2 linked regions of the Arabidopsis thaliana genome follow. The protein of the gene in region 1 interacts with the protein of each later gene in a pairwise test. Each region holds a gene or a part of one and is shown on either strand. Other genes may lie near its edges.

Region 1 (17,872 bases):
TAAGAGTGAGCTTGACCAACTTCAGAAGATCTTTGCGGTCCTTGGAACACCAAACGAAGCAATATGGCCTGGGTTCTCATCATTTCCGAATGCTAAAGCCAAGTTTCCTACACAGCCTTACAATATGTTACGTAAGAAGTTTCCAGCTATTTCATTTGTAGGTGGTCAAATTCTTTCTGAACGTGGATTTGATTTGCTGAACAGTCTACTAACTTTGGACCCTGAGAAACGTCTAACAGTGGAAGATGCTCTCAACCATGGTTGGTTCCATGAAGTCCCGTTACCAAAATCCAAAGATTTCATGCCGACATATCCTCCAAAGCGGTAACTGAGAAAAAACGTGCTATCATTTGGACGAGAGGATGTCAACAAATACACAGGGAAGTCGACTGGTCGTATTTTGGTATTTTCCTTTTTACTCAAAAGACTTGCTTTCATCTATTCTTAACTCAGTTGCGTTGCTTTGTTGCCTGGAGATTCAGGGCATTCTAGTGTACCATTTATTCGGATTCATGTGTAAATATGAGTGGTCCGTAAAACTGAAAGGTGTGTTTCTCTCTTTTCGTTAGGACCCTAATGTTATTGCTATCAAGAGTTGTACACACTATTGACTCACATGCTTTAATGGAAGAGATCTCAGTATTCACTTTCTCTCTCTAGTAATTGGGTTGGGATGGTTATTGTTTATGTCCTCATATTTCTTCTGTGCATTGTTTTTATTCACGAGGTAAACGCAAAGAGTTTATCACAAACGTGAGAATGGAAGTTGACATCAGTAAGTTTATTTTGATTACTTATTTACCACGCTCTGTTATCAATGTTGGTTTGTTGTTCGACGTCCCTTTGTCTTTGAGGTGCTCGTATTTGGTCTGTTGGCAGTGAGAAAAAGATGATTCATGATGAGTTTCTGTGGACATAGGAGGTATGGCAGTGGTTTTTTTCATGTTAATCCGAGAATTAAGGGATTTGGGATAAAAAGCTATATAGAAAGAAGCTAAAATAAGTTTGTCTTCAACACTATAACCCTTTGTCCTCCTTTCTTTTTAACTTCTGTAAACAGCTAAGCTAAATCAAGTTCATTTCAATAACGAATAAACTAGAATCAGCATTACCTTTGACGAGGCCATAAACAGAAAGGATATTACACAACACACAACAGTGATCAATATGAGGAAAAGCTTCTTTTGCGAGATGATCTGCATCGTTTCGGTCCTTAGTCTTTTGCTCCCAGCTCCTTACCATATGTCATTGTGCAGCTTCAGCTGTCTATTACCATTTAACAATCGGTAATGTTTCAACAATCACTTTTGTAAATTCCCTTTCCCATATTCCAAACTCCTGTAGAATCAAATCTCATATTGTAGTTGGAATTTTTCAAAACGAGGTTTCTAAATTAGTTTTCTCTATATCAGATAACCAACAATGATATTTTGTTCGAACCTTTGGTCGATTAAAGAGAACAGATAATGATTGCCACATCATCTGATTTCTCTAATGATACAGAATTTCATAAACAAATATATAGAAACGAAATACTGATTTATCAAGTTTAAAATTAACTAAAGAATGCCCTAGTCATGGGTCCTCCTTTCCAAAACTGTACAAGTGTCCCAGACAAAACGACCAGTTTAAAAGCCCTTATCGAGACATCACACATTACCTTTTTTAAACTTTACCGACTCTGACACCATCAGATCCACACGTGGCGAGAATTCATTTGGCCACTTTCCCCAATTAGGGTTCTTGGGCGTGGTTTTGATGGTGATTCAGTCTACCTTTTTCTCTCTGTCATCGAACCTCTCTATATTTAGTATTTCCTTATCTTCTTCAGCTGTCAGATTATAATTGGGTGAACATGTTCGATTTTATTGTTTAGTGTTGATAGGATTTAGTACTTGTCTTATATTTATAAAATAAATAGCCAAGGTTTGTCGATGGTGAGCATTTAAATTCGGGGTTCTTTTTTTTGTTGTTTGAATTAGTAACTAACGATGTTTTATCATTGGTTCCTTCATATCCAACGAAATGACAAAATATCACCTTTTTCTCAAATTTTGTAACTATTGATTCTTAAAAAAACATGGTACATCTGTTAAGTGTCTGTAATTTTTGATGTGTTTATGTATAGTTTTAATTTTTTTACATCAATGCATAAAGCGAAATGTTTTTGGTCATGTATATACAGTATGTGTTTTTCTTACAACAAATATATTACTGATGATATACGATTATATATATACGTATATAATATATGATTAAGAAATGATATGTTATATAGTCCGTAACGGATAAGATTGCTTTGTCCCATATGCATATTATATCATTAATGATATTTTTCATTTTTCGTTATTCATCCGTTATATTTTTCATTTTTCATTTGTCCCATATGCATATTATATCAGTAGTATGTTTCGATGGTGGTTTTATGTTGAAACTGTTGGCTATCGTATTATATAATTAATTAGGTATAGAATCAGCAGGTGAGGGTGAGAGCAAAGGTAGTCAATTTTATTCATTTGTTTAATATATACGTAGTAATCAATGTCTTTAAGCCAAATATAATTTGATCTGATCCAACCCAAAAAGATTGTATTTGTGCATCCTTCTTCTTTTAGTAACTATGACATGTTTTTGATAATTGCATTTACTATCTGTAGGGACGTCAAGTAGAACCACTAAAATCATCTATACTTTAATGATCAAGATTACATTGTTGAATTAAAACTTTAGCTACATCAACTCTATACGGTATATCGTGTTTTCCTTGCAACAAAATATGTAATAACGAAAAATGGAAGATGAGATATCGAATGTTAAAGAATCAAACCTAACTCTCAAGTCTCAACATCAGTCATCAGTTTCGTCCACATTCATGAATGTATAAATATATATGGACTAATTATTAAGCCTTGGTTAATTAAATAATGAGATTGTTTGTGTAAATTATAGTTGTAAGTTGATAAGCTAATTACATATCTCTACGTGTCCTCTTGCGTGCAACGTACAACGCAACACAAACCCATCAGATTTTTCTTGATGCCATCTCGAACTGCCTTCCGAATCTACTTTATTTCTATGTTACTATATTGGATTTTTAATAAGATTTTGACTCTCATGTCCATATATACTTTTTCCGAATCAATTGTATGATTATATTTAAGATGGCTCCATGATACCGTCACTCCCTCATGATTTTTATTTATACGCCATCCAATGTTCCTTCTTTCCCTTTCATAAAAGAGGTGGCCTAACTTCATTGGCACAAAATTCCTCTTTGGACATGAGATCATCGACCTTGTCCCGTTAATAAAGATTTGAGATCTAGAGTCACGATCACCTTTAGTTGATTAAGATTATATTCCACTAAATTAAATTCAGAATCGGTCAATGATAATGTATGAACCCTCATCTCTTGGACCATGCCTAACATTACCTTTTTTTTTTCATTTCGATGTACTATATTTTAACCTAATTTTGGCATTTATTCATGATTATCTGTTTTTAGGCCAAACAAATTAGTATACTATTCAGGTACTAAAGTAGTAAACACAAGGGTCAAAGTGATTATTAGCTAACCACGGGACCTACTAATTAATTATATACTATTAGACCAGATTAGGTTCTCAATTCCGTTCCTTATGTATACGTCTAATTATAAAAATCTCGAATGCTAACATCATATTTTTTTCATCCGCGCTTTGATTGAACAACCGAATATAAGAATCAAATATATACCTTCATGTCAAATATTAATTAGACCAATATACTGAGAACTTCGAATTTTCCAATAACAAAACACCGACCATTTTTAAAACATTAAATTACAATAAGTACTGCTTAATTTGTGATAAAAAAAAAATAGTACAAGTTTAATTATATTTCTATGTCATGCCATTTTTGAATAGTTTTTTTTGTCGTTTTAGAAAATAGTTTTAAACATAAATTCGATTCATTTTTCATGTCCATTACAGAAGGAAAAAGAGCATGTGCAAGTGCAACGGTGATAAGCGTATTCTAGACAAAGACACGCGTATCAACCCAACACTTGTCATCTTCAGAGTCCCTATATAAACCCCTTCACACACACCTCTCTTCATTATTCTTCAAAGCTCCCACTAAAACCTATTAAGAGAGAAAGATATATACAGAGAGAGATCATGGACGGTAGGGGAGGTTGTTGCATAGCCAGATATGGTGGTTACGGTGGTCGCTACGGTCTCTCCAAAGCAGATCGAATCATGCTTCGTTTTCGTCCCATTGCTCCTAAACCGGCCAGCGACGGTGGAAGTGTCTCTCTCACCGGGAAGAGCGGCTCCACCACAACTACAAGTGGTGGAAGCTCCGATCTCTCAGGTAAATCTGGGAGAGGAAAGAGAAAGTATCAAAAAGATTGTTCCGGTGGGAACTCCCGAAGGTGCAATAAGAAGAAGAGAGATCTAAGTGGAGACACTGCTACTACCACGGCGGTTACATTGTCTCTTTTACCAGAGACGCCTGAGAAACGAGTTTTTCCAGATCTGAATGCTTTTCCGGTGGAGAAGCAGAAGCGAAACGGTCCTTTATGGCTGAGTTTCAACGGCGGTGGTGAGATTTTAACGCCGTACAAAACGGCGGAGATATCACGAAGGACGGTGGTGGTTTCGTCGTGTGTGACGGTTGAGCGTGTGACTGACGCTTGGATCGACGGTTATGGATTAGGGGAGACAAATCAGGAGAGGAAGATGAATCTAGTGGAAGACACGTGTCCTGGTTTTATATCGGACGGTGTAGGGAGAGTCACGTGGACCAATGAGGCGTATAAGAAGATGGCTAGAGAAGATATTAATATTCCGATGGAGGAAGGTGTACCGGAGGATATTAGTTACGATAATTTTCACGTGAACGTACGGTTAGTGATGAAGGAGAGGCCGATGCTAACGTACCCAGCTTTCACATGCAGAGTGAGATTACAGTACACGTGTCAAGATCGAGAAAGAGGATCCGTCACGGTGCCTTGTGACGTGTGGAGAATGGACGGCGGTGGTTTTGCGTGGAGGCTTGACGTTAAGGCAGCTTTGTGTCTGTGACGTTCTTTCATTCGCCACCGTTGGATTTACAATGGTGAAAATGATGAATGGTCCCGATCGTATCGTATCACACATGGCCCTTCGTAGAACTAAAAATATAGCAAGTGATAAACTTTGGTTATTTAATTTTCACCTTGAACATATGTTTCTGTGTTTTATTTTTTAGTTTGCTTTCTTCTTTAGTTAGTATTTTGTTTATAAAATGCTGTTTTCTCTAAATTGCTAATCTCAAATTTATGTTTTTTTTTGTTTTGCTTAAAAATTTCAAGAAAGTTGTATATATGTATGCCTTTTACAATCATTAAAGTTTTTCTTTTTCACATTGTTCGTTTTCATGTCATTTAAGCTTGAAGATGAAATTGTCAACATTCGTTTGCAAAGGTGTTAACATAATAAACAGTCTTCCCAAGCCCATACAAGAGCATTACGTAGAAAAATAAATAGTTTACTAATGGGTAGCCTCATGATATTCACTAATGGGCCTGAAAATCAAAAGATTCATAGGCACGTGTAATTCAATCGCGCTATTTACAGGGCGCGTTTAGTGGATAAAATAGTCAAAATAGTGGAGACAATGTCGGTCGGTATCCGCGTCTATTACACGCGCTATAGTAACACGTGTAATCTATTAATTCTTGCGATTTGGAGTATTAATACTCACGCGCTCCAAGATCTTTTCTCAAAACAATTAGAGATCCAGATTCACTAGATTGCACCGTAGCCTTCACAGCCGTTAGATCTAAATATCGACGGTACATATCGAAAGGATAATTGTAGCCGTCTAGATTTGGTTGGCTGGAATTTAACGGCTTAGATTCGATTAAAGGCGGCGGGCTGCTCATCTCTTCGGATCTATAAGTAGAGAAGCAAATTGTTCGTTATTCTTCGTAAGTCTCTCTCTCTCCTCTCACCTCTTTCGTTTTTTCGAATTTTTTTTTAGTTTTCCATTCGAAAAGATATCCAGAAGCTCTCGATCTAGGGTTTTCCAAATCGATTTTGGTACCTTTTTTTTGACTCAGTCGAGGGTTTTTCTAGGGTTTCGATTAGCTTTTTTGCCAATTGCCGTTGAGGAAGATACTTCTTCGGTGAATTTGATTTGATTTTGACCTGAGGGAGAAGCAAGAAGCTTAGACCAATTGGGATTCTCAGTTTGGTAAGTCAACGTGCAATTCATAGGAATTCATCATCGGATTGATTTGGTAATCGCATTCTTGTGATATTTTTTCGGGGAATTGTGTTTTGGCTCGATAACGATGAATGGTGTCTATAGATTCATTGTTGAAGATATCTGCAAGATTTTTGGAGCAAAGGCATAAAAGCATTACTTGCTTGATTTTTTTTTTTAGTTTGTTTTATATTCTAATTTGATGGTGTGAAGACGATTAACTCTGAAAAGCGAATGAACTGTTGGGTTTCTGGTTTATAGCAAACGATGGGTAAAGCGCGGAAACACTCTAGAGGGAGACCATCAGGCTTTGTTCCTGATTACATGCAAGCTGTTGAGCCTGATGAATTTGTTTACTCAGAGAGGATGAATTCTGAGGCGTCTCCTCCACTGAAAAGGAGACGTTTTGGTTTGAATGGAGATAACAATGGCGTTTCTAAAGAGGTTTTGTCTCTGTCAAAGATGTCGAGGTCTGAGAGAAAGAATTTAGTTCACAAGTTGAAGATGGAGCTTCAACAGGTCAGGGACCTTAGTAAGAAGATTGCATCTTTCAGTTCAGACACTGTTCTGTTGTCGCCATACAATGATCATAGCTGCAGTGATGGGCCTAGGAGGCCGCCACCAGAAAACTTTGCTACATTTGTTGGGTCACAGGGCAAAAAGCGCCCTCCTGTGCGCAGTGATAAGCAGCGGAATAAGAAAGGTCCATCTCGATTAAATGTCCCAACAAGTTATACTGTTGCTTCAGTGATGAAGGAGTGTGAGACGTTACTCAATCGTTTATGGTCACATAAGTCGGGGTGGCCATTTCGTACTCCAGTTGATCCAGTGATGTTGAATATTCCAGACTATTTTAATGTGATTAAACATCCAATGGATCTTGGAACGATACGAAGCAGGCTGTGTAAAGGTGAATACTCTAGTCCTTTGGACTTTGCAGCAGATGTGCGTCTTACATTTTCAAATTCTATAGCTTACAATCCACCAGGAAATCAGTTCCATACTATGGCTCAGGGTATCAGTAAATATTTTGAATCGGGATGGAAAAGTATAGAGAAAAAAATACCTATGTCTAAACCACCAGTTATTCCCCTAACCAGTTCTGCTTCTCTGGAGTCTGAAATCCCTTTCGAAGTAGCACCGATGAGAAAGAAGGAAGCTGCAATGAACGATAACAAGCTGAGGGTGGAACCTGCTAAGTTGGTCATGACAGATGGTGAGAAGAAAAAATTAGGCCAAGATCTGATGGCATTAGAAGAAGATTTCCCTCAAAAGATTGCTGATCTCCTGAGAGAGCAAAGTGGCAGTGATGGTCAATCTGGAGAAGGTGAGATTGAGATAGATATAGAAGCGCTTTCTGATGAAATCTTGTTCATGGTTCGGAAACTCCTGGATGACTATTTAAGGGAGAAAAAGAAATCCATGGAAAAGAGCGAACCTTGTGAGATGGAGGTAAAGAACCTCTCTGATTATTTTTAGTAATCGTTTGTGTGCACTTGGAAATGTTGACATTTGACTTTTGGTTTTAACTTTTCTTTTACAGATTGTTCATGACTCTGGATTCAGTAATTCCCCTTTGCAGCCTAGTAAAGGTATGTTTTTGCTATTTAATTTGATGTCGAAAATGATTTCCTTCAGTAATCTGAGTATCTGATGTACTCATAATCACAGGTGATCTGCAAATTGACGAGGATGTTGACATAGTTGGTGGGAATGACCCCTCGGTCTCAAGCCATCCTCCTCTTAAGATAGAAAAAGATGCTGCATGTAGAAATAATGAAAGCAGCAGTTCGAGTAGCTCTAGTAGTGAATCAGGCTCTTCATCTAGTGGTTCGTGTTTATGCGAGCCTTCTTCTATTTCCTTAGAATAATCATTTTGTTTCTCTTAAATAGTGCATTGATTTGTACAGTTTGTAAGAATAGTTAAGATTGGAAATAAAGTAACTTTTCTATTGAAATGATTAGTATTGGACTCCTGAGTCTTGTTTTGTAATTTGAGCCTACGTCGTGTCCCATATTATCTTTTCGATGCTTTTTCTCTGCTCTAGTAAGTGTGGTTATTCCCTTGCTATAGAGGATATTATAGTTAGTTTCTGTGGTTATCGTTTATGACGAATGAATTAAGTTCTTACATTGTGGTTTGGCAAACTGTAGAATTGATTCCTTTGCTTTATTTTTACTCATAGGAAGTGCTTTTTATACTGATGTGTTCTGTGATTATCTTTCAGATTCTGATTCTTGTAGTTCCTCTGGGAGTGAAACAGATTCTATTAAAGCTTCAAAACCCACAAGTAGAGAGGTATATCTAACAGTGGAATAACTTATGTTATGGAGTCTCTGTGTTTGGATGTTGCTCTAATTTCTGCAAGATTTTTCATTTACTCACCAATATTTCCATGGACTATTTGCAATCATAAAAGTGAAATTACTACAGAAAAATAAGTATAGTCTCCTCTTTAATTTAGGAAAAAAAGCAACCAGGAGTTGGTATAGACAAAAAAGAGGATGATAGCAACAGTGAGAAGATAGTTGTAAATGGTTAGTCTCTTTATAATTGATGTATGCAAGTTGGAGTGCTCGGATATAGAAGTCTTCCCGACACTCATTCTTTGTTCTCTGTAGATTCTTTGAATGAATTGGATCAACTTGAGCATACTGTTGGGGAAAAGTCAACCACCATGGATGCAGTAGTTCTCGTTCCAGATGGTAAGAAATGAAAGTTAAGGAAGGTTGGAGATGGTAATAGATGTTTATTTTCAGATCATGAGTTTACCTGTCATGCTTTGGTATTATAGAGGAGACTGCTCCACCTGAGAGGCAAATTTCCCCAGATTCCCCAGATAAGCGTTACCGCGCGGCTTTCTTGAAGAATCGTTTTGCTGATACCATTATGAAAGCTCGAGAGAAGGCTTTTACCAAGGTTGAATTTTTAAGTGTCCGATCTACTGTGTTGACGAAAAAGCTCGCCTGAACTTGTGGATTGTTTTAATCAAAAAATTTAATGCATCAAATTTCAGGGTGAAAAAGGGGATCCTGAAAAATTGAGGATAGAAAGAGAGGAGTTTGAAAAACGGCTACGGGAAGGTTGGATTGTAGTGCATTCGAGTGTGCTTATGTACCCATAATTCCTAACTAAATACTTTTATTTTTAATTCTTGCGATTTCCGTTTGATTAGAAAAAGAACGGTTACAAGCCGAGGCCAAAGCAGCTGAGGAGGCTCGGAGAAAAGCCAAAGCAGAAGCCGCAGAAAAAGCGAGGAGGGAAAGAGAGCAAGAGAGAGAAGCTGCACGTCAAGCTTTACAAAAGGTATAAAAGACTTTTCGAGTTTCTCTTCTATTATTCAGAGCCCTACCATGGTGTACAATCATGATAAATGACTTTCTGGTCTGTTGCAGATGGAAAAGACAGTGGAGATAAACGAGGGCATACGGTTTATGGAAGACCTCCAGATGCTTAGAGCTACAGGTACAGAAGGTGATCAATTACCGACTTCCATGGAAGTGATGAGTCCCAAGTTTAGTGAGGATATGTTGGGTTTGGGTAGTTTCAAGATGGAAAGCAACAGTAATCCATTAGAACATCTAGGTCTGTATATGAAAATGGATGAGGATGAGGATGAAGAAGAAGACCCGCCACACTTTAGCCAGAGAAAAGTAGAAGACAATCCCTTTGACAGAAGTGAAAAACAGGAACATAGTCCTCACAGAGTAGAAGGAGAGGATCAACTCGTTAGCGGAAATGAAGAGCCGGTGAGCCAAGAGGCACATGATAATGGGGACCAAGAAGATGGAAAACCCATAAACCCAAATGAAATAGAACGACAACTGGAGAATATGCCAGAGCAAGAAAGTGGAGTTGGTGACAAGGAAGAGCAAGAAACTGAAGTTGTCGATATGAGAAAGCAAGAAAATGAAGTTGTTGATATGGGAGTGGAAGAAGTACATCCCCTTGACCGAAGTGAAGGGCGTACACTCAGTCCTCACAGAAAAGAGAGAGAGGACCCACGTGCTAGCGGTAATGAAGAATCGGTAAGCGAAAAGGCACAAGATTATGAGAACCAAAGAGATGAAAAAATCAATCAAAGCGAGAGAGAAGAACAATTGGAGAATGTGCTAGAGCAAGAAAGTAGTAGAGATGATGATACAGGAGAGCAAGAAACTGAAGTTGTCGGAGTAGGAAAAGAACTTTCCCTTGACAAAAGTGAAGGACAAACACTTAGTCCTCACAGAGAAGAGGGAGAGAACCAACTCGATTGTGGAAACGAAGAACTGGTAAGCCAAAAGACACAAGATAATGGGAACCAAGAAGATGAAAAATCCATCAATAAAATTGAAGGAGAAGAACAATTGGCGAATGTGCCAGAGCAAGAAAGTAGAGTTACTGAAAAAGAAGAACAAGAAACTGGAGTTGTCGACTTGGGAGAGCAAAAAAGCGAAGTTGTCGAAAAGGGGGTAGAAGAAAATGAAGCTGTTGACAATGGTGAGGGAGTGCAAGGAACTGAAGTTTCGGACAAGGGAGGAAACGAAACTGTAGTTGATGGCAATGGAAAGGTAGAAACCGAAGTTGTGGACAAGGCAGGGCAAAAAACTGACCTTGTTGACCAGGGAGAGGAAGATATAGATGTAGAAATTGATTGATGAAGTCTTTTTTCCGGGTCTTGTTAAAAGCAACAAGATGAAAAGAAAAAGTTGGGGATGTTTACGCATTGATTCTTCTATGCACAAAATGTAAATTTGATGTGGCGTGAAATGGCTAAAGCAAGCAAAAGAAAGGCAAAGCCAGATACATCTAGAAGACAAGACGATGAGTCTGTATTGCCTATTTTTCAACGTGACTCTGTTGACAATGATTCTAAATCGACGAAAAAAGAAAAAGAAAAAAACAATTTTGCTACAAGAAAGATGGTTTGGTTTGGTATTAAAGCAGCAAATTGTGCGACTGTTGAAATGTGCAGACTTTTGTTTTTTTTAATCTTTTAGAAGAGTAAACTGTACAGGGAAAGAGAAAGAGTCTGTTTCCTCCATTTAAACGAGACACTCTTTGTACTCGAGATCACTTTTTAAATTACTTCTGAGCACTGATACTTTTTGATTGATCAACTAAACCCAAATTATCTTCGCTTCTGGATAAAGGGTATTTATGTCAATTAACTTTGTTCTTATAAGATGATGATGCGAAGACACTGAGAGAAGCTAAGACAAAGCGCAGAAAATGGTGGGAGCGACTGTAGTTAGTAAATGGACTCCCCTATGTGTGGCTTCGCCGCCGGAGAGAAACTCGGCAAGTCTCAATCCACACTGTTCTCCAGCCAGGGTTAATTTTAGAACAGCGTTGGCCGCATTTCGTCCTCAGTTCCGTCTTTTCTCTCGCAATTCCGCGTCTCGCCGCCGTCTTCGCGCTTCCAGCTCCGCCGAATCGGGAATCTTCCTTCCTCACCTTGTAGCTTCTATGGTTTGTGTGCTTCCCCTCCATTTATGCGAATTACTTTGTTTTCTTAGTACTTACATTGATTAAACTCCGAAATCAGGAATTTAGGATTCAAATTAGTTTGGATATATTCTAATTTGATGAATCTCAATGCAATTTAGTGACCTTTTGATTGTTCTTACGTTGTTTTCTGTATTGTTTCAGGAGGACGTTGAGGAGACTTACATTATGGTGAAACCTGATGGCATACAACGAGGCCTTGTAAGCGTTTTTGCTTTTCATTTTTTTTCTTCTTCTGATTTTGAGGTTAAATTATGTATCTTGGAACTCTATGGAGCTTTGAATGTTATTTCATTACACTATCTTGGCTTAAATTATGAATGTATGATTCATTTGATGTTCTTAGGTAGGAGAAATCATTTCTCGCTTTGAGAAAAAGGGGTTTAAACTTATTGGGCTCAAGATGTTTCAGTGCCCAAAAGAATTGGCTGAGGTTTGACACTCACTCATTACATCAGTAGTTTGATAACTTTAGATTGCTTCTTAATGTGATATAACTAATAAATCATTGACAAGTATCGAGAAATTGAAGCCTGATCATGACTTGCATATTTCACTTATTCGCTACATTTGCGTAAGATGACGCTGCCTCATTTTTTTTTCATATTCGATTGACATAATTAATATTCTTGTGTGTTTATCTCAATTGCCAGGAGCATTATAAGGATCTTAGTGCTAAATCATTCTTTCCTAACCTGATTGAGTACATCACTTCAGGTCCAGTTGTGTGTATGGTATGGGTATAACTATGCTCTAATTTGATTTTTACTTGTTTTCAAGTTGTAATTAGATGAGTTAATTGCATGTGATGTTTTAAACCTGGTAAAGGCTTGGGAAGGTGTTGGTGTTGTTGCTTCAGCCAGGAAGCTAATAGGGAAAACAGATCCGCTTCAAGCTGAACCTGGTACTATAAGAGGAGATCTTGCTGTGCAAACCGGAAGGTTGGACTTCTATCATCTTTAAAATTGTTGGAAGTAAGCACTTAAAATAATTCTCATGGTTTGATATTTTTAAATTATGCAATTTGCAGGAACATTGTGCATGGTAGTGACAGCCCTGAAAACGGCAAGCGTGAGATTGGTGAGATTTCTTGTTTTTTGTTCAAATCATTCACCCATCTTTCATTGTTGAGACATTGACTATGTCCAGTTTAGGGGCAAATCAACGTGGTTCAAACTGCTTCAAATTAACTTGATAACATAACTAGATTAGATCATACTTGATTACTGAAATTGTTAGGTTCAATATATCTGTTTTAAACCATTACTATCACTTCTTCATTTACTTAGTTTGACCAATCACTCTCATTCCTTAGTATGCTAAACTTTTAGTTTTCATTTGCTGACATTTTGGCTCTTGTGGTTGTGGCATAGGTCTGTGGTTCAAAGAGGGCGAGCTATGCAAGTGGGATTCGGCTCTAGCTACATGGCTAAGGGAGTGATCCTTGAGAAGACAGAGTCAATTATAATGGTGTCCTTACTTGTTTTCTTGTTACCGATGATGAGCTTTGGTGTTTTGTTCCTGATTTTGGGCGGCAATATAATATAACTGCCAATCTATGGCTTGATTCTTCTCATATCTGTGATCACTTGTCATGTAATCAAAACTAGTTACAGATTCATCTGCATTTGGTTCTACGTTACAGACACCTCCAAAATCATTCATCTTCACTCTACACCGAGCAATGAAAATTTTCTAATCTCAAGCTAAAAGAACATACAAAAGAGTGGCTTTACAAAACGCAGATGCTGCGTGATTAAGATTGCTCAGATCAGTGTACCGGAATATCATTCCGGTTTACTTCTAAGACCGGTTGGTATATGGAATCTCAATGTCCTCAGGAGGAAGTTCCCAGTGATCGTCTTGTTCGTCTTCTCTGGATGCATTTCTGTTGTGCTTGCGGATCTCTGAAGTTGATAGTGGTTTTGGTTTAGGGTTTGGTCTCCTGTAAAATCAAAATCTATTGACTCAACTTCTCCAAGTGTTTTTCGAAAGAAAGAAGAAAAAGTGAAAAAAAAATCTGACCTTTTCCGATACTTCTTCGCAGCTTCTTTGGTCTTCCGCGTCTTCTTCTCCAGAGAGCTCTCGAAGAAGCGTCGTCTTCGAGATTCCTGCAACACACCCGCTCTGAAACACGACCTCTTGAAATCGTTAACCAGCTGCTCCTCCGATTCGCCGTCTTTAGGCACCACCTCGACGTTGTAGTAACTGGACTTGAAGAATACGAGATTCGCGTTCGCCAGCGAAGGATACGCCACTCGATTGATGACGTCATCGTGCTCGGCCGTTAAAATCTTCGTCGTCATCGACAAATGCTGTGACGTTCTCGCGGATACGGAAGACGGAAGCGTGATAGGTTTCAGACTCGACGGAGACGGTGGTTTCGACGAGAGAAGGGAAGAGAGAAGCTCCGAGAGAGAGACTATCGATTCTAGCGCCATTTTTTTTTCCGTCTGAATAAGTGAATAATCGTTTCATTCTTATTATAATATTTTTCAATTGTAATTAGTGTGTTAATTAGATGGTCAAGTCTTTAGTGAGTCTACTTTCTGACTAAAACGACGACGTTGAAGCATATAAAACGAGACCAGTGAACTTTGATCTTTGAAAGCTTTCTCTCTTCGTCTCTCTGGCTCTCTTTCTTTTTCTCTCGTTTTATTTGGTAATTATGCTGAAAACAACGATTTCTCCAATTTTCTCATCGTTTACAGGTAAACCCAAGTGCTCATCGAAGTTGTTTTTTCGAGCTTTTAGTAAGGTTGTTCTACAAGATACTCCACCAAGTGCTCGACGAAATGCGTCAACCAATCTTACTACGTTACACAAAGGTCCACCAACCTCAGCCTACGTTCATCTTCCGTTTTGTCGCAAACGCTGTCATTATTGTGACTTTCCTATCTTAGCTCTAGGCATGTCTTCTTCTTCAGCCAGACCGTCTAATGTCTACGAGGAAGGAAAAGAAGATGACCCGAGAATCACGAACTATGTGAATTTGCTTGTTAGAGAGATAAAAGCGACAAGGACGGATTTTGATACGAACCCGAATCTAGAAACGGTGTTTTTCGGTGGTGGGACGCCTTCTCTTGTTCCTCCGAAGCTTGTTTCTTTGATTCTGGAAACATTGAGTTTGAATTTCGGGCTGAGTCCAGATGCTGAGATATCAATGGAGATGGATCCAGGCACGTTTGATGGTCAGAAGCTGAAGGATTTGATGAAATTGGGAGTTAACAGAGTGTCTTTAGGAGTTCAAGCTTTTCAAGATGAGCTTTTGAAAGCTTGTGGAAGAGCTCATGGTGTCTCTCAAGTGTATGAAGCAATAGAGTTTGTTAAAGAATGTGGAGTTGAGAATTGGAGTATGGATCTTATTTCTTCTCTGCCTCACCAGACTTTGGAGATGTGGGAAGAGAGTTTGAGATTAGCTATCGAATCACAGCCCAATCATGTTTCTGTATATGATCTGCAAGTCGAACAAGGCACAAAGTTTGGAAATTTGTAAGTGTACGTAGTTCAAGTTTGCTTACTGATGCTTAAGAACTTGAATGTAATCTGAACAGAAACGAATTGGGTTCATGAACTTGTGTAGGTACACTCCAGGACAGTCCCCTCTTCCTTCAGAAACACAGTCTGCAGAGTTTTATAAAACAGCATCATCGATGCTCCGTGGTGCAGGTTATGAACATTATGAAGTCAGCAGTTACTCGAGAGACGGTTTCAAGTGCAAACACAACTTGATATACTGGAAGAACAAGCCATTCTATGCTTTCGGTTTAGGTTCAGCGAGTTATGTTGGAGGGTTGAGGTTTTCAAGGCCAAGGAGGCTAAAGGAATACACAAACTATGTCGCTGACTTGGAGAATGGCGCAGCAAACTGGTGTGGAAATGGTGATGTTGATCTTAAGGATGTTGCAACAGACATCTTAATGCTATCTTTCAGAACATCTAAAGGGCTTGAACTTAAGGAGTTTGGAGAAGCTTTTGGCAGTGAGGTAGTGAAATCAATCTGTAAAGTTTATGAGCCTTATGTGGAGAGTGGGCACATTGTTTGTTTGGATGATATGAGAAGCGAAGTGATGATTGATGAATTCAAAACCTTAGTTGCAAATGATGAAGTGAAGATTGAGGATCATGTGAGGTACCTTAGACTGAAAGATCCAGATGGTTTTCTCCTCTCTAATGAGTTGATATCTCTATCGTTTGGCGTGGTAGCTCCTTAAACCTTAAAGCTACTAACAAGAAAGATTGTTTTATACTCTTACTGTTATAGATTGTGTTTCAACCTTGATGTTATCATTGATATGTATGAAGATTCGATAAAATTACAGAGAAAAATCTAATCACTATTCCTATTTTGTGGAAGGAATCATCTGTTTTTACAAGCTTACAGAAAAATCATTTGTCTATGTAATCCATCTGATATCCATAGCAACTAGCTTCATAACCACATAGAAATACTCTCGTTTGGAATCCATAAGTCTCTGGTTTGAGAAACACCAAATGAGGAAAGGTCTGAGATGGAGAAGTAATGAGGAAGATTTGTGATTCACCAAACCAATATCGGATTTGAACATCCTGTATCTCAAGAGCAGTTTGAAGCTTACCTGTATAAAATGTTAAACAAGAGTGACTTTAGGAGCTGAAAACGATTCGATATAAAATGTCTAGAGAATGAATTGTGTACACATTCAATAATCCAATGCTTGAGAGGATTACCATCTTATGACGGTTTTGTTTTTTTTCCAGATTTTATAATACGACGCAAATCTTGTGTTCCGCTTCTCTTTTCTCTGTTAAAGACAGTAGAAACAGCAATGTGACCAAAGATTTCTGAAGATAAGGCAATGATGGAAAATAAAAACAAGTAACACCATACGGTACCTTTGATGTAAGAAGACTAGAAGATAAAAGAGTGGGAGTAGCATCAAGGTCAATATTGAAATGGCGAGGTAGAAGACACCCGATTTCTTCTGCACAAATTAGTATAGACAAAGATGTTAACAGAAGACTGACATATTCCCTTATATTGGTTTTCACAAGAAACAGATAGCATAGAAGAAGCATATGCAAACAGAGTTGCTTTAAAAAATAATTAACAACTTCATTTAGCATGCATAAGTAACTGCGACGGTTTAAGAGATCATACCTTGCCTCCTCTAGGAAAGGGTTTATCATTTCCAGTGCAGGTATGAGCATCACAGAATTGGCGCAAAAAGTGTTCTTCGATCATGAAAAATAAAAATCAAAGACAGTGATTTGAGCACACTTCAAGGAACTATTTAAGAATCATCTCAATGAGCAACTATTCACTTGGAAGGTTTCTTAGTAAGGAATCATACCATGAAGACGACTAGCTGAGGGACCTTGACTCACTGGGAAACAACTATTGGCAACGCTCTAAGTGAATAAACAAGTAAAATTAGTATCGAAAGATAATAATAACAAGTCATGGAACCAGAGCTGGAAAAAGCAAATAATAATGAAAAGAGAATCAAAGAAAGAAACCTCGCAGAGATGACGGTTTTTGGCAACAGCAGGAGGGTTGCACTTGCTCTTGGGTTTCTTAGAGCTCAATACAAAGTCACAATGCAATGCACCACACAGGTCGGCTAAACACTTTGTATCAGTCTGAAAACAAGCAAAATATCACTAAATAACAGAATTTCATTATCCTCAAGATGAGAAACATATAAGACATACCGTATTTAAAAGATTATAATGTCTAGTACTGAAATGCTTGTCAAGAAATTTCTCATCATTGAAACTTTTCTTGCAGTAACCACATTTCCATTCGAAGACATCAACATGAACCTTATGATGTTCCTGATCTCTGTATAAATCATTATCAGGATGCAGCCTACAATTTTTTGGAATTTCATATCTTTCCCGTTCCACAAATGGCGTCAAATACTGCAGAAAAAAATCCAAATAACAAAAACAATCAAAAATCTACTCCTTACCATCTAATACCAAACAAATTCACAAATTAAAGGAAACATATTCAGTTTTTGAATAGTCTCTACTTACATCTTGTATAATCTGCCAAGCTGCTCGACTTCTTTCTCGGGAACAATGTATTTCTGGAGCATTACTAACTTCTACTTCTTCGTTAACCAATCTATATTTCAGGACAAGACAAATCAATATAAATCAGACATG
Region 2 (15,121 bases), about 17 Mb from region 1:
AAGTCAACGAAAGTCTTTTATTAATGGTAACGGTAACATGTCACACGCTCCCAATTAAATGCTAATCTCAAATCTTAATAAGCATTTTTCTTAGCTCCTCGAGCCTCCCATAGGATTACTCTTTAAGACTTGGTGATAGTAGTTGTTGAAATTTGATGAACATGCAAGTGACACATATTACATATACGGCTCTACTTTCTACCAAGTGGTACCACAACGTACACAAATAAAAATTTAACAAAAAGAAAAACGTACACAAATAAATTAAATTCTTAAAAGAATATTTCCTCCAAGTCAAAGAAGAAACAAGTTTACTCTTCTTTTAACGTCCGGGTCTTCTTTTAACGTCCGGGTTATATATATAGTAATTGCTAAAAGCCCAAAACTTTATGTGATTTAGAACAAACAGACTTTATGTGATTTAGAACAAACAATTTTCAGAATCATACATTTTCTTAATGCCTTGAGCAACTTTTGATCACCATAATTTACTGTCTTTTTCGAAAACTTATGTAAGTGAGTTGTTATTGTTGTTCTAATAATAATTATAAAAATGGCAACATTGTTATGGTGGGGAATCCTCGAGGAATATACCGATGCCAAATCAGCTGTGAAATGAAGAGAGAGACGTCATAGAAAGTAGGTGGGCCTCTAGTGGGCCGTGCATGTTCTCAAAAGTTTTCCACTTTCCTCACATTTTTCTCCTTTTTTGGTCTTTTTCAATTAAACGCCACATTCATTTTTATTTTTATTTTGTTGCAAACTTAGCTATTTTAAATCTATTGTAAAGTTTATCAAATTTTTATTTTTATTATTATAGAATGTTTGTTATTAGAAAATATATCTTTTGTAATGAAAGGCTGTAATTTATTTATTTTGATATAAACTTGCCAAACAAATGTTTTCCGTATCCTCGTTTTTCAAGATAGAGTATTTTTTATTATTATAAAATATATATCTTTTGCAATGAAAATTTTTAATTTAAAATTTGTTTATTATTTGATTATGTCATAGTATTAATAGATACTATATCTTTTGCATTTTTTGAAAATAGTGAAAGAAACTTTTCGCATGCTTTGTGTTGTGAGTTGTTGAAGAAAAAAACTTTTAGAGTGTGAGTTGTTGACAAACAAAATTAAATACATCTTTTGCATGCTTTTTTTTTCTTTTTCTTAATTCACTAATTAATGGACCTTTAGATTTACAAATGGTTAACATAAATAAATTAAAGGTTGTGGATACGAAACTAGTTAATTTAATAGTATTGTTTACTTTTTGTATTTTGAATAATCTATATATAGAGTAAACCTATAAAATTCATATTTTCATATATTATTTTCTAAAATTCCTACAAATGATTTAGGACTTATCAATAAAAGTTTTGAAGATGTTTTAAATATTTTGTGGTAATTTTGAATTAATATAAAAAATCAATTCTATGTTTTAGAATACCTCTATTTCATATATATATGTTAAATATGGAAGATCCAAGAAAACCAAATTGGGTTCGAAATGTTTCACCATTTTAATAAATTCTGATTTGTTTTTTTTTTTGTAAAATTAATAAAATGTATGATTTTTCTAGTCCTTATAGTTTAACATTGCTTCGGAAATCCCATGAATTGCTACTGACTTTTAGTATTTGTGGTTACAGCAATTATTTGTAAATTGTAACACTAGATTTTTGCATCCAATAATAAGAGTGAAAACTTAAAATGATGAAGGATTTTAGGATTTTAGGAGTTCTTTCAAAAAATTCAACTAGATGTCAAATATATATCAATTAGTCGATTACTTTTAAATATAGTATATGTTTGGTAACAAAAACATTGGTAAATCCGAATGCCAAATGGCAACGGCTGGTCCAAACTTAACAGCTATAGGGTTCTTCCTTTACAAGTTGGAGATTTGTACACATATTTAATAACGCACACACACACACGTTTATACATAAAGACTCAAATCTATAAATAGAGGTATAGAGTGAAAGGAAACGCCTAAGAATCCGGAAAGCTCAAAACAAAAATTGAGAGAAAAATATAGCATTAGATACGGGAAGGTCCACGTAAGACCCGTACTCTACTTTGATTCTCTCAATCTCCTTCAATTTTTTTCTAGATTTTTTTTGTGATCAATCTTTGATCTAAGAAGATGAAGCGTGAGTATTTAGATTATACACTTGTGCCTTTAGGGCTTGCTTTGATGGTCTTTTATCATCTATGGCTTCTCTACCGTATCATCCACCGTCCTTCTTCGACTGTTGTTGGCCTTAACGCCTTCAATCGCCGCCTTTGGGTCCAAGCCATGATGGAGGTCTATCTTTTTACTATTTTTTAATCATATTTATTTGCTTTTGGTTATAAAAATGCATATGTAGATTTGTTTTTTCTAGTCAAATATATATGATTGATCTCTCTACTTAATTTTACATGAGTTATATGATCATTTTTTTCCTGGAAAATGCAAAATTATTTTAGCTCATTTGGTTTTATATTTTGAGGGTTGTTGGAGATGATAACTAAGGAGAATCTTGTTTATATAAATTGCTTATAGTGTTGATTTACACATAACGATAAAGATGAATTAATTGAATAAGAAGTGATAAATGATAAGTGTATGCATGTGTAGAGATTTTCCTGGGAAAGAAAATACTGACAACAGTTTCAGGTCCTTTTGTATTGGATTGGAGGATGTGAGGTTGAGATTCTATCTCACTATGTGCATATATAAAGTTTAGTATATGGTTTATATATAAATATGAGTATAATTCTAAGTATAATCATCATGCATGCACCTCATAAATTGATACTAATATTGAAAGTTGAAACAGTATCAAGTTGTTTTTCTTTCTTCTTTTGCTCAGATTTTTTCTTTTCTATGTGAACATAATTATGTTAAAGTTCTTTACGTTAATGCAAGATTTTGAACATTTCCTTACTAAATGAATCCGCAAGTGTGAAAGCTAACAACACTCAAAAGATGCTTTGCATTTTTGGGAAACTTTTTTTTGAAAAAAATGTTTATAATTACATTATTTCCTCCACCAATTTTTTTCACTTTTTGTTGGATTTGAGATTTCTTGTACTAACTTATGTTCCGTTAACAACTATTGTAAACAGGACTCATCCAAAAACGGCGTTTTAGCGGTTCAAACGCTAAGGAACAACATAATGGCATCAACTCTATTAGCATCAACCGCAATAATGTTATGTTCACTAATCGCGGTACTAATGACTAGCGCTACAGGAGAGCGATCAGTCTGGTTTGTGTTTGGAGACAAAAGCGACCGAGCCTTCTCGCTCAAGTTCTTCGCAATCCTCGTGTGTTTCCTAGTCGCGTTTCTCCTCAATGTCCAATCAATTCGTTATTACAGCCATGCAAGCATCCTTATCAATGTCCCCTTTAAACAGCTCATGGCTGTTTCTTCAGGTGGTCGTGGTAATGGTAGTCTTATGATAAACCAAGATTATGTGGCTGCAACGGTTAACCGTGGGAGTTACTTCTGGTCGTTAGGACTACGAGCGTTCTACTTCTCCTCGCCTTTATTCCTATGGATCTTTGGTCCCATCCCAATGTTCATAACTTGTTGCGTTCTTGTTTGTTCGTTGTACTTCCTTGATTTAACGTTTGACTCGATGAAATGTAGCGTTGGAGCCGCAGACGCGGAGGAGCCCGAGATTAGAAGCTTAGCTCAGAATGTTTAGTAGTTTTTTTTTAATTTGATAATGGTTAGGGGTTCAGATATATTGAAGAGAGTTTTGTTCAATGGAACATACAAATCTTGTAAGTTGTATTGATTCAGGTTCAATGGTAGTTGAACCGTGTCAAAGTGTCACTCTGTAACCAAGTGAAGAAATTTGTTGTCATTTAACCGTAAAATTGTCAATTTTACTGATGTCAAAGATATATATATTTTTTTGGTAATTTTGCATATGCATATGGTATATATGGATCATATATATTCCATGTTTATTTTCAACCCTTTACTTTAAAAGTTACGAAGAATTTAGAACAAATTACAAATATGGACTTGGATCAAAAATGTTCATAAATTCTACTTCTATAGCTTTTTCTTTCCCCGTTTATAATATATGGTATTCGGAGGTAACATTTTTCTTATTTTTTCTGTCAACCACATTAATTGTTTGAGATCTCTTTAACCCTTTTGTAGTTAGGACAAATGTTAAGAATCCATAATAGTAAAACTAAATATGTATTTATTTTTGGAGCTTTTATTTTTAATCTTTTTTTAAAACACTATATATATAGTGGGTGGTTTTCTATATTTTTTTAACTAACGTTGATATAGGATTTAACCCACGATATACCGTGGGACAATTTGTGTTTCGCACAATCTTGATTCGATATGTTTAATATTGGTAGTGTAACAAAATAATAAAATGAAAAGAGCAATTGGGTAGGGTCGGATCATCATGAGATATTTAGTAATTTAACAACTTGTAGTTTTGGTGACTTCTTAAATTTTGATCAGATAGAACATAGCCACTAAGTAGGATCATGAGGAAATACATAATTTTCTAAATAAAATAAAAATAAAAAGAGAGATTTCCACATATTCAAGTTTTAATATTTTTTCTTTGTTTTTCAAATAAATTAAAACTAAACTAAAATCCACATCTAATTACCATTCAAATTTTTCAAACAACTAACATTTACACCAAAAAAAAAAATTACAAACTAAAATTCGAAAGCCAAAAACTATTTTAAAAGCTACATACATTTATGATTTTAAACAACGGAAAATAAAATATTTCCAGAAACTGAACTTTGAGATAGAAAGTAAACGTCTTTAGTAACTAAGTGATTGGTTGGCATGTCACCGTAAATTATTCGCTGTAAAATTTTGACCGTCAGCGTGTAAAATGCAACCGTGTATTTTATTGTTATACGTGTAGATATTAGGGATATAAAGTCTTAGAAGTAAATTTATTAGTCGTATCTTAAAATATGATTAGTAAATATTTTATAAAATATTATAGTTAACCAAACTATATAATAAACAACAACACAAATTTTGTGATGCACATATAGGTTAAATGGAATCTATATAAACATGTAAAATAGTTTATATGTTAGTCGGATAATAACTACATATTAGTTGAAAAGAATATATACATATAAATTTTTTGTTCAAATGTTGTTCAAAATTTATACATAAGTATACATTAACAAACAAAACTATACATGGTATTTATACTATTAGTATATATCCATCTAGTGCCTAGTGTACATTATATAAGCAACACATAAAAAATGATCATGAGGAAATAAAATTAAAATAAAAGAGAGATTAAATTAAAAATATAACTTATAGAACTTATAACAACATATGGTTTTAGGTTGTAGAAATATAAGATTTACGGTCACAAGATTTTTTTTTTTTCTAAAACTAATTCACAACAATTTGGTCTTCACAAAAACAATTATGGTTGTAAAAGATTACATTCCAACTAATCAAACACTATAAGAGACTATCCTCAAACTAGAAACGCAGAGGTCTAAACCCAAAAACAAAACAAAAAGCAATGACTTAGATAAACTTTGTTGGATATGGGCTTCGCCCCATTTAACATTCGGAGGCCCAAACAAAGAGTCATTGAAAACCTCAGTTAAGAATGATGAAGACCAGCCCCCCTGAGAAAGCCGCAGCCCATTGCGAGATGAGGCCCATTTTCTGGAAAGGATCAGCCGCCATAGAAGTTTCATATCGCTCAGAAAATGGTACTGTGTACTTTCATTGAAGTACTATAAATATTGACAGAGGAATGCCAGAAAAGGACACCTGAAGTCGGACGAGAATAGTACAAGAACATTCTCATTCGGATTCAAAGACATAAGCTCGACAATTGACTTGTGTAGTTTTATTCTTGTTGTATCTCTTAAAACGAGGCTTGGCTGTAAACATATCTTGTAAACGGCCGAACGTTAAGTTTAGATAAATAAGATCTTCCTTTTCGCTCGCTACTTTCTTCTCTGTTTTTGAGGTTTAGTTTTGAGTACCAACGGACTTCGATATCAAACGTTTTAAAGTTTAAACCTATTTGATTTACATTATTTGGTTTAAATAAATTGATTCAGACTTCACACGACCAAGAAAAAAAAATGGTTGAATTGGGTTCTCATCTATTGGGCTTTAACAACAAACACTATTAGTAAGATGGGCTGGCCAGTTGTGTAAACTGTTTCATATTGGTAAATCAATATGATACCAATTAAGTTTATTTAATTCTTCTTTAACTTCCGTACAACTATCACGAAGCTTCCTTTATAGCATCAACGTGTCAATATATGATTCGCTAGGTGACATCTCTCGTTCAGACATCCTCACCTTTTGACTCATATAACCCCTATTTCCGTAACTATTTTACTGCAATACTTCAGGGGTAAAATAGGTATTTACATTCTGTTTTGCCTTTTACGCGTAACGAACGTGGTTTTGTGTTTTATGACTTTCTGGGAAACAGTGGTACGCCTATCCACGCGCCACTTTTTCATCTCTTTGTCTTTGATATCTCTCTTGTCTGACCAAATCGTGTCACATCTCCTTCTTCTCCACTTTACCAAATCGTGTCAAATTTTAGGGTTTTTTCTTTTCGTACTTCATCAAATTCTGGAATCTGGTTTTTTCTTAGTTTTCTTCTATATACCTTTGAATCGCATCTTTGATCCAAATTCATTTTAGATATCACCTTGAAGTCGAATTTGTGATTTTTTCTTTTCCTCTCGAATTCTCAAAGTCTCACGCAACTATGAAAGAAGACATGGAAGTACTATCGCTCGCTTCACTACCGGTTGGGTTCAGATTTAGTCCAACGGACGAAGAGTTAGTCCGGTACTATCTCCGGCTCAAGATCAACGGTCACGATAACGACGTTAGAGTAATTCGTGAGATCGATATCTGCAAATGGGAGCCTTGGGATTTGCCTGGTAATTCCTTTCTTCATCAAATCAATTCGTTGATTCATCTTTAGCTCTTTAGTCTCGGTTTAGCAATTCCCAGGCTTCAATTCCGGTTTATGCATGTTTGAATTTGGAACAATATGATCAATAACTTCTTAGCTTAGGTAGTGGACTTAGTGAATTTGAGTAAAGATTTATACTTTAGTATTTGTGGTGTAGATTTTTCTGTGGTGAAGACAACAGACTCAGAGTGGCTCTTCTTTTGTCCTTTGGACCGGAAATATCCGAGTGGAAGTCGAATGAATAGAGCTACTGTGGCTGGATACTGGAAGGCGACGGGAAAAGACCGTAAGATCAAATCAGGAAAGACTAAGATTATAGGTGTTAAGAGGACTCTAGTGTTTTATACAGGTCGTGCTCCTAAAGGGACACGAACTTGTTGGATTATGCATGAGTATCGTGCTACTGAGAAGGATCTTGATGGAACAAAGTCTGGCCAGGTAAAAACCAACTTGGCAAATGATGGCATTAACTTGTGTGTGTAGGTCTTTTGTGTTTCTGATTGTGTTTGTTTGATTGTTTTTGGTTGCAGAATCCGTTTGTTGTTTGTAAGTTGTTTAAGAAGCAAGATATTGTGAACGGAGCTGCTGAACCAGAAGAGTCAAAGTCATGTGAAGTTGAACCAGCGGTATCGTCTCCAACTGTTGTGGACGAGGTTGAAATGTCTGAGGTATCTCCTGTTTTCCCTAAAACAGAAGAGACTAATCCTTGTGACGTCGCAGAGTCTTCTCTTGTAATCCCCAGCGAATGTCGTAGTGGATACTCTGTCCCTGAGGTTACAACCACCGGGGTAAGGATGAACAAAATACATTCTTTTCATTACAGGAGGCGGTACAACCGCTTTGTAAACTTACAAACTTCATTTTACTCAACAGCTTGACGATATCGATTGGCTCTCGTTTATGGAGTTTGATTCCCCGAAGCTGTTCTCTCCGTTGCACTCTCAGGTGCAATCTGAGCTCGGTTCCTCTTTCAATGGCTTACAATCTGAGTCTAGTGAATTGTTCAAAAACCACAATGAGGATTACATTCAGACTCAGTACGGTACAAATGATGCGGATGAATATATGTCCAAGTTCTTGGATTCTTTTCTTGACATTCCCTATGAGCCAGAACAGATCCCATATGAGCCACAGAATCTTAGCTCATGCAACAAGATCAATGATGAATCTAAGAGAGGAATTAAGATTAGAGCTCGACGAGCACAAGCCCCGGGTTGTGCTGAGCAGTTTGTAATGCAGGGCGATGCCTCAAGAAGGCTGCGTCTTCAGGTTAACCTTAACAGCCACAAGTCAGAAACTGACAGTACACAACTTCAATTTATCAAGAAAGAGGTGAGAAGAAGTTTGTTTTCATACCTTCTCATGTATTACAATTTATGATCCTTATATTTATGCGATAAAATGTATATAGGTTAAGGACACAACAACGGAAACTATGACGAAAGGATGTGGAAATTTCACAAGATCAAAGAGCAGGACTAGTTTCATATTCAAGAAAATTGCAGCCATGGGATGTTCATACAGAGGGCTTTTCAGAGTCGGTGTGGTAGCGGTTGTGTGTGTGATGTCGGTCTGCAGTCTAGTCGCATAAATCCGCTGAATGTGATGTTTGTTCCGATCAATTCATATAGTAAGAATAAAGAAAGTGGTTTTTACGGGTGGAGAGAGCGCGGATTTGTGTGTATAACAGGGGTTTTGGCCTGGTTCTGCATCTGTTGTTATTGTTGTTGTTTTTGTCGGCTTAAGCTTAACCATGGTCGGTTTAGGAGTGTAGTAGACTTGTAGTTAACATGTACGACGACTCATAATATTCAGATGGTAATGTTTGGAAATTTTTTTATTCCTGACCACATGTGTCTTGAGATTGCGTTTTTGACATTTTTAGTAGCCTTGTACAATCAGAAACAAACTACGAGTTCGAATGGTAGCACCGTAATGAAAACGGTGTCAAACATGTTAGTACGAACCGACCGGGTAGAGATATTTATTAGAGGTGTGTTTATTTCGTATATCATTAAACATGTTTAGTATGATAGGACGGTTTGATTGAGGGTATGGACTGTTAAACATGTCATTTGGGTATTTTATGGCATTAAGTATGCCCAGTAATATATTACAAAATTTTTGGACAAAAGAATGCATATTTGAATAGTTCAAATAATATGATCACCTCTCTTTTCTCTCCTTCATATCTTTTAGAGAGAGGAACTGTTGAATTCTGCCGACCGGATTATTCTGGTAAACTGCCGTCCCAAGTTTTGGGCTTTTGCCCGACATCTTTTTGGCTTTGTTAGCAAAGATGGCCGGTCCTCTTCTGGCAAATCCGGCTTCTACAAGAATAATTGTATCCTTACTACTTAATTGTATGGACCAAGAATAAAATTTCAAAATTTAGTTGTTTTCTTGATATCTGTAAAAAAAATTAAACAACACTTACAATAAGACATAGGAAGCAGTTTGTATCAATATTACTGTCGTGTTGCTTTGGAATAAAACCCAAAATACGTAAGTACCAAAACAATTATTAGACTTTTTAAATGTGTTAGCTGATATAAGTAGTATATATCAATGTTGTATCATACTTTGAATAAAACTCAAAATTATGTGTGAGTAAGAAAAGAAAATACAATTCTTTCCAATATATAAAAACATCGTAAATGCATAAAATATGTGCATTCGAATCTTAACGCCATTGCAGTTGGACTCATGTCTCCACATGCGATGCACCGAACACCAACTAACTTTATCTCAACTATTTTTAGAATTCACGTATCATGTTCTTTAATCAATTTAATATTTCGATTATAAATTTATAATGACCAAAGAAGGTGATGCACACTTTTAAAGCGTAAATATACAATAGTGGATATGAATGACTCGATGCTTGATCATTAACATGGCACATTACATAAAACAAAAGTCTATAAATTTCTTTTAAGTTTTATTAAAAACGGATGACAAGAAAAGAGAGTCTATAAACTTATTTTAGCAGAGAAACTAATTCGGTTGTGGCATAGAGTTATTTTTTTATATGGTTTAGTCAATATGGCTTTTTGTATTTTTGACTTTTTGGATATACTTTTGAATCAGATTAAAGTCGCATATTGCCGGTTGGTATAAAAGGAACTTCATGTTAATTCCAGAACGATCTGAAAAATCTTCCATAAATCAATTTTATTTAACAAATGCAAAAACCATTAGTACGTAAAATTAACCTATAAAAAACCAGAGGTTATTTATTGTCTTGATTTTTGATCTGCGATAACATCTGCTGAGTTTTGAGTTATACAAACCACTCAAGTCTCAACATTGAGATTTTTTCAGGTCCATTTGGATAAAACAATAGTTGAAACCCATAAAGATAGTGCGCGTCAAAAGTAAATTATACATTGAGACTCAAACTGTGAAAACGATCGGATACAAATTACATGTCAATTATTATTACTTAAAGTTCATTTTATAGCAGGTATACCAAAAAGTTAAGTCCAAATTCGCAGTTTTAGAGGAATTTTTTACTACAAGTAAAGTGATAATATCATCAGTTTTACCAAACGATGGAGACCAATTTTAGTTTGTAGCATAATATAGAAAGTATAAACTAATTTAGAGATGGACACAAGGTAAAATACAAGTGATTCATTTTTCAGCTGTTGTGTATGAAAAATTGTTTTATATGTTACTTTTATTCGTTCGAAACGGATATTCAACATTTTACATTAAAAAAAATTTCGTTGCAGGTTATTATGAAAAAAATACATTTCTATTGTACCGTTTTAATATTTTTATAACAAACACTAAAAATATCATTTACCTCTGTAACAAAAAAAAAATCATTTGCCTGAAAAATTCTTCAATTTCATTACCTAATCCACTCCAAACAATTACATAGTAAAAATGAGATTTTTGTTATTTACGAATACTTTCATTCTTATAAGCAATACAGTGGATATACTAAATTTAAAATTTTGTAACTCTTTAAGACTTATTAAAAATTATTGCCAAACTCACCAAGAAATATGGAAATAAATGTACTTTTTTGTTAAATCATATTTGGATAAAAGATGGACTCATAGATACGCACAAAAATGTATACATTCAGCATATTGTGTAAGCTGAGTCAGCTCCAGGTGTTTGGGCACATGTAAACATGGACCCGACCTTTTTACCTCTTTTTCTGTTATAAGTTTTTAAAATAAAATTAGATTACTTCACAAAGACTATAAAAAGGATTATAATTCCAAAAACAAAACAAAATTATAAAAGTAAAAAAGATATAGTTAACTAGAAAGTTACCAAACATGGATTATAAACCGGTCAACTACGTACATTAAGAATCTGAGTGAATTCTCTGAACACTTTCATCTATCATTTTCTTATAGCTAATTTTGTCTTAGTGGCGAACCGTAAATGCCTCTAAAGGTTCACTTTAATTTCTAAATAGTTCTTCCAACTATCGAGCTTATTTGTTTTATACTTTATATGATAGTTGTAATATGTCATAATGTCTGAGTTGCGATATATCAAATAGGGCACGACGGATAAGAACACACATTGATGGTGATATCAACCAGAAATATATGATATACGTGTTGTCTATAAAACGCCCCTAATTTATTCATTAACTTCACATAATCACGTAAACTAACATTAGTCGCATAATCGAGTAACAAACATCTACTGGTCTACAAGAGTTGTCTTAAGTCTTGACTGCCAAACAAAATGAAATTATTCTCTCATTTGTCCAAATTTAATCTAAAGCATCCCACGTGATTTCTACTTTTTCCACCATGCCAAGGGGTTTTTACAAACACTTTAATCTACCCAAATATATTTTTAATAGTTTTCATTTTATTGGGCACCCCATGTTGCATCTATCCCCAAAAATTGCTTTTGAAGAAATGTGAATACTATTTTTCTATTTTTATGAAAATATAGAACACATTGTTTAGTGAGTTTTCTACTGATTAGATTGTTCTTAGTATCGAGAATACAAGTAACCGAAACTTGTGGTTAAAGGATTTTGATGCCTCTGCTAAAAGGAGATAAATCAAATCTACCAAATCCGCTTTAACGAACAAAGAGAAACTAATCTAATGGTTTCATACAATGTATGCAACTATAGTTTGATTTGTCTTTTCTAACCACTTCGAACTATAGAAATTACTTGCAATGAGAAATAAATAGTATACTTTCTGAACTATTTTTTTTTTTTCGATTACATTACACACTACAAACAAAATAGTTTGTGTGTGAAATTTAGCTTTTAACTTTGTAATGTATTACTTATAAAACATAAAAATAAAACCTCTTCGTATTGTAAATGATAAGTATTTTCTTAGTAAATAAATTATTTAGCTGACAACATAATGTTGGGTAGAGATGATGACACGTCATCTTATCATCTTTTTCTCGAACTAACATTGGGTTAGAAGTTATATTAAAATTAAGAATAGGAAAGATTAAATTACTATAGAAAATTAAGGAGGAACAATATAAATGTAACCAATAAAGTCGGTGAGTATGATGCAAAGTATTGTCCTTTTCGATGCCAAAAATTATTTTCTCATGGTACGTTCCTTTTATTTATACATAGTTTTCCGCGTTATCATGAATATACGTTTCTCCCATGAAAAAAAAAATATACATATCAGAAGGGAGTAATCCACATAACATGAAAAGAAAAGGAACAAGCTAAGTGGTAGGAATTTGCAAGTAATAAATTGTTTTCTTAGAATATTGTAATACATATGTGGTTTTTATATCAAACTTAGAATTTGATTTCTCATGTTGAGGTGTGAAAAACTAAATTATCATGCAAAAACTTGTAGATTTTGAATACAGTAAAAGATCACATATCTTACAACTAAAATTAACAAGATTAAATTTCATATTTTGGAAGCCTAACTGAAAAAAACTGACTCAACAAAACGAACAACATCCGGACATAACTAATACGATGCCCATTATACAATCATTCAAGGTACATGATCAAAGCACACCCACATTCTATGCCTATAAAACCTACCGACCTCGGACCATCTTGTTCCGGGCCCTCTTCAAAAAATAGTAAATTGCAAAAGAAAGAAAATCGAAAAGGTTGTTTGTAAAATAATTACAAAACATAATTAGTGGTGAGAATAAATCTAAATATAAGGTACAAGGGGGTGAAGGGGTGTGTGTCTATATATGTTGGATGATTAGTTTCTGCCATGTGCTATGGAATCAACCTCTTATGCTTTATGTTCTGTTTAGCTCCTACCTTATACTATAACTTTAATTATTCATCAATAATTCTAATTCTCCTTCGTTTTTTAATATACTAGTGTTTCATATAAATACTCGCTCTCTCTACTCATTCCCTCCATAACATATATTTCTTCTTCGTTTCATTCATAATCGTCTTATAACCACAGATTCTAAAACATGGGAGAAGAAGTAAAACCAGTAAGATCTAAAGTTCCTTCAATACTTTTAAACCACAACAAATTAAGTACCTATTTTGTAACTAATTGGTGATTGATGTTTTCAACTTTTCATTATTAGGAGGCAAAGGAGGCAGCCTCTGCTCCACAGGCCGTCCCCGCTGAGGAGGAGGAGAAGAAGAAAGATGTAGCGGAGGAGAAGAAAGTGGCGGCTGAGGAGGAGAAACCAAAGGAGGAAGAGGAGCCGCAACCACCACCACCGCCTCCACCCTTCATACTCTACGTCGACTTGCATTGTGTTGGATGCGCTAAGAAGATTGAAAGATCTATTCTAAAAATTAGAGGTAAAAGAATATATGAATGGATGGAGGATTAGATTCTGCTAAGAATAATTGTTCAACACTTTTAATCAACAAAACAAATTCTCTTTCTAATATATAAAAACCATTAGCTTCATTCTCAAAATCCCAACTACCTAATATTATTTTATAAAGCTCAAAAGGGAAATTTTAATTCTTTTTTTTAACATATTAAAAATGTCTAGGTGTGGAAGAAGTGGTGATGGATATGAATGAGAACCAAGTGACGATAAAGGGAGTGTTGGATCCGCAAGCAGTGTGCAACAAAATCAAGAAGAAGACTAAAAGAATGGCCAAAGTCCTCTCGCCGCTTCCGGCAGCTGAGGGAGAGCCTCTGCCACCAATCATAACCTCTCAGGTCTCCGGCGGCCTCACCACCGTCGAGCTCAGCGTTAACATGCACTGCCAAGCTTGTGCTGACCAGCTCAAGAAGAAGATTCTCAAAATGAGAGGTACATGCATATATATATATATATATATATATTTGTGGATCTAGTCAAAACCAAAATACTCTTTTTCAATGTACATAATTTTAAGGATGGTTAAAAGTTTTTGGTTGTATTGAAAACGGTATTTTGTTTTATAATTTGTTGTTCTGCATGAATCGCAATAATCGTTAAATAAAAATAATAATATATATTTCCCACCGTTTTTAATTAAACATACGCATCCATATTAAAATAATATATCATTTGGTATAGATGTCACCTAAGAATTCATTATATATCATGTCAAAAAGAAGAAGTTACTATATATCTCGTTATGCATTACGTCACATGCATGTTTAAGCTAAATTTGTTGATGACAATTAGATTTTGCGAAGTTTCTATTTTTTTTTAGTAGTAATTAATATTGAGCTTAAAGGACTAACTAATATTGTTGGTTAGGGGTCCAAACAACTGTGACAGAGCACACCACGGGAAAAGTAATAGTGACTGGGACAATGGACGCTGAGAAGCTTGTGGATTACGTCTACCGTCGGACCAAAAAGCAAGCCCGAATCGTACCCCAACCTGACCCGGAACCTGAAGCCCCCGCGGCCGCGCAGGAAGAAAAGAAGGAGGAGAGCGGTGAAGGCAATGAAAAACCACCAGAGACCGGAGAGGAAAAGGAAGAAGAGAAGAAGAAGGAGGGAGAGGAAAATGGAGAGGAAGGTGGTGGAGAAGAGGCGGCGGCTACGGAGGAAGAGAGACGAGACAATGAAATGACGGCTATGGCCCAAGAAGAAGGGATGAAGAGGATGATGTATTACTATCAACCTTCATACGTCATAGAGAGGATTCCTCCGCCGCAGCTTTTTAGCGACGAGAACCCTAATGCTTGTTGCATTTCTTAATTAAATTTGGTTTCGTATATG

The links.
Region 2: the proteins of NPX1 (region 1) and TIP interact in a two-hybrid assay, tested with the Arabidopsis thaliana proteins (one study listed by BioGRID).

Annotation. Positions count from the first base shown.
Region 1 is NC_003076.8:25,367,410-25,385,281, reverse strand, and holds NPX1 (nuclear protein X1), read left to right. Parts: upstream 1-6,035; 5' UTR 6,036-6,069; coding exon of another isoform or gene 6,070-6,173; 5' UTR 6,174-6,229; coding exon of another isoform or gene 6,230-6,388; 5' UTR 6,389-6,498; coding exon 6,499-7,683; intron 7,684-7,774; coding exon 7,775-7,823; intron 7,824-7,902; coding exon 7,903-8,061; coding exon of another isoform or gene 8,062-8,102; exon of another isoform or gene 8,103-8,459; coding exon 8,460-8,530; intron 8,531-8,696; coding exon 8,697-8,769; intron 8,770-8,853; coding exon 8,854-8,937; intron 8,938-9,026; coding exon 9,027-9,151; intron 9,152-9,248; coding exon 9,249-9,315; intron 9,316-9,407; coding exon 9,408-9,538; intron 9,539-9,627; coding exon 9,628-10,869; 3' UTR 10,870-11,327; downstream 11,328-17,872. Other genes in the region: AT5G63370 (Protein kinase superfamily protein), read left to right, coding at 1-328; AT5G63375 (uncharacterized protein), read right to left, coding at 795-979, 1,113-1,242; AT5G63350 (von willebrand factor A domain protein), read left to right, coding at 4,158-5,066; AT5G63340 (uncharacterized protein), read right to left, coding at 5,608-5,672, 5,728-5,918, 6,070-6,173, 6,230-6,388; NDPK2 (nucleoside diphosphate kinase 2), read left to right, coding at 11,444-11,683, 11,864-11,920, 12,066-12,152, 12,373-12,453, 12,548-12,660, 12,750-12,799, 13,093-13,160; AT5G63300 (Ribosomal protein S21 family protein), read right to left, coding at 13,507-14,160; AT5G63290 (Radical SAM superfamily protein), read left to right, coding at 14,388-15,211, 15,303-15,933; AT5G63280 (C2H2-like zinc finger protein), read right to left, coding at 16,434-16,503, 16,595-16,683, 16,860-16,933, 17,053-17,110, 17,219-17,341, 17,414-17,623, 17,741-17,831. UniProt on the Arabidopsis thaliana protein: Acts as a negative regulator in plant response to changes in environmental conditions through the control of ABA-regulated gene expression.
Region 2 is NC_003076.8:8,410,373-8,425,493, reverse strand, and holds TIP (TCV-interacting protein), read left to right. Parts: upstream 1-6,417; 5' UTR 6,418-6,770; coding exon 6,771-6,948; intron 6,949-7,140; coding exon 7,141-7,421; intron 7,422-7,513; coding exon 7,514-7,771; intron 7,772-7,856; coding exon 7,857-8,315; intron 8,316-8,394; coding exon 8,395-8,574; 3' UTR 8,575-9,119; downstream 9,120-15,121. Other genes in the region: AT5G24600 (TRP-like ion channel protein (Protein of unknown function, DUF599)), read left to right, coding at 2,152-2,313, 3,120-3,704; AT5G24580 (Heavy metal transport/detoxification superfamily protein), read left to right, coding at 13,407-13,427, 13,527-13,749, 13,950-14,216, 14,652-15,100.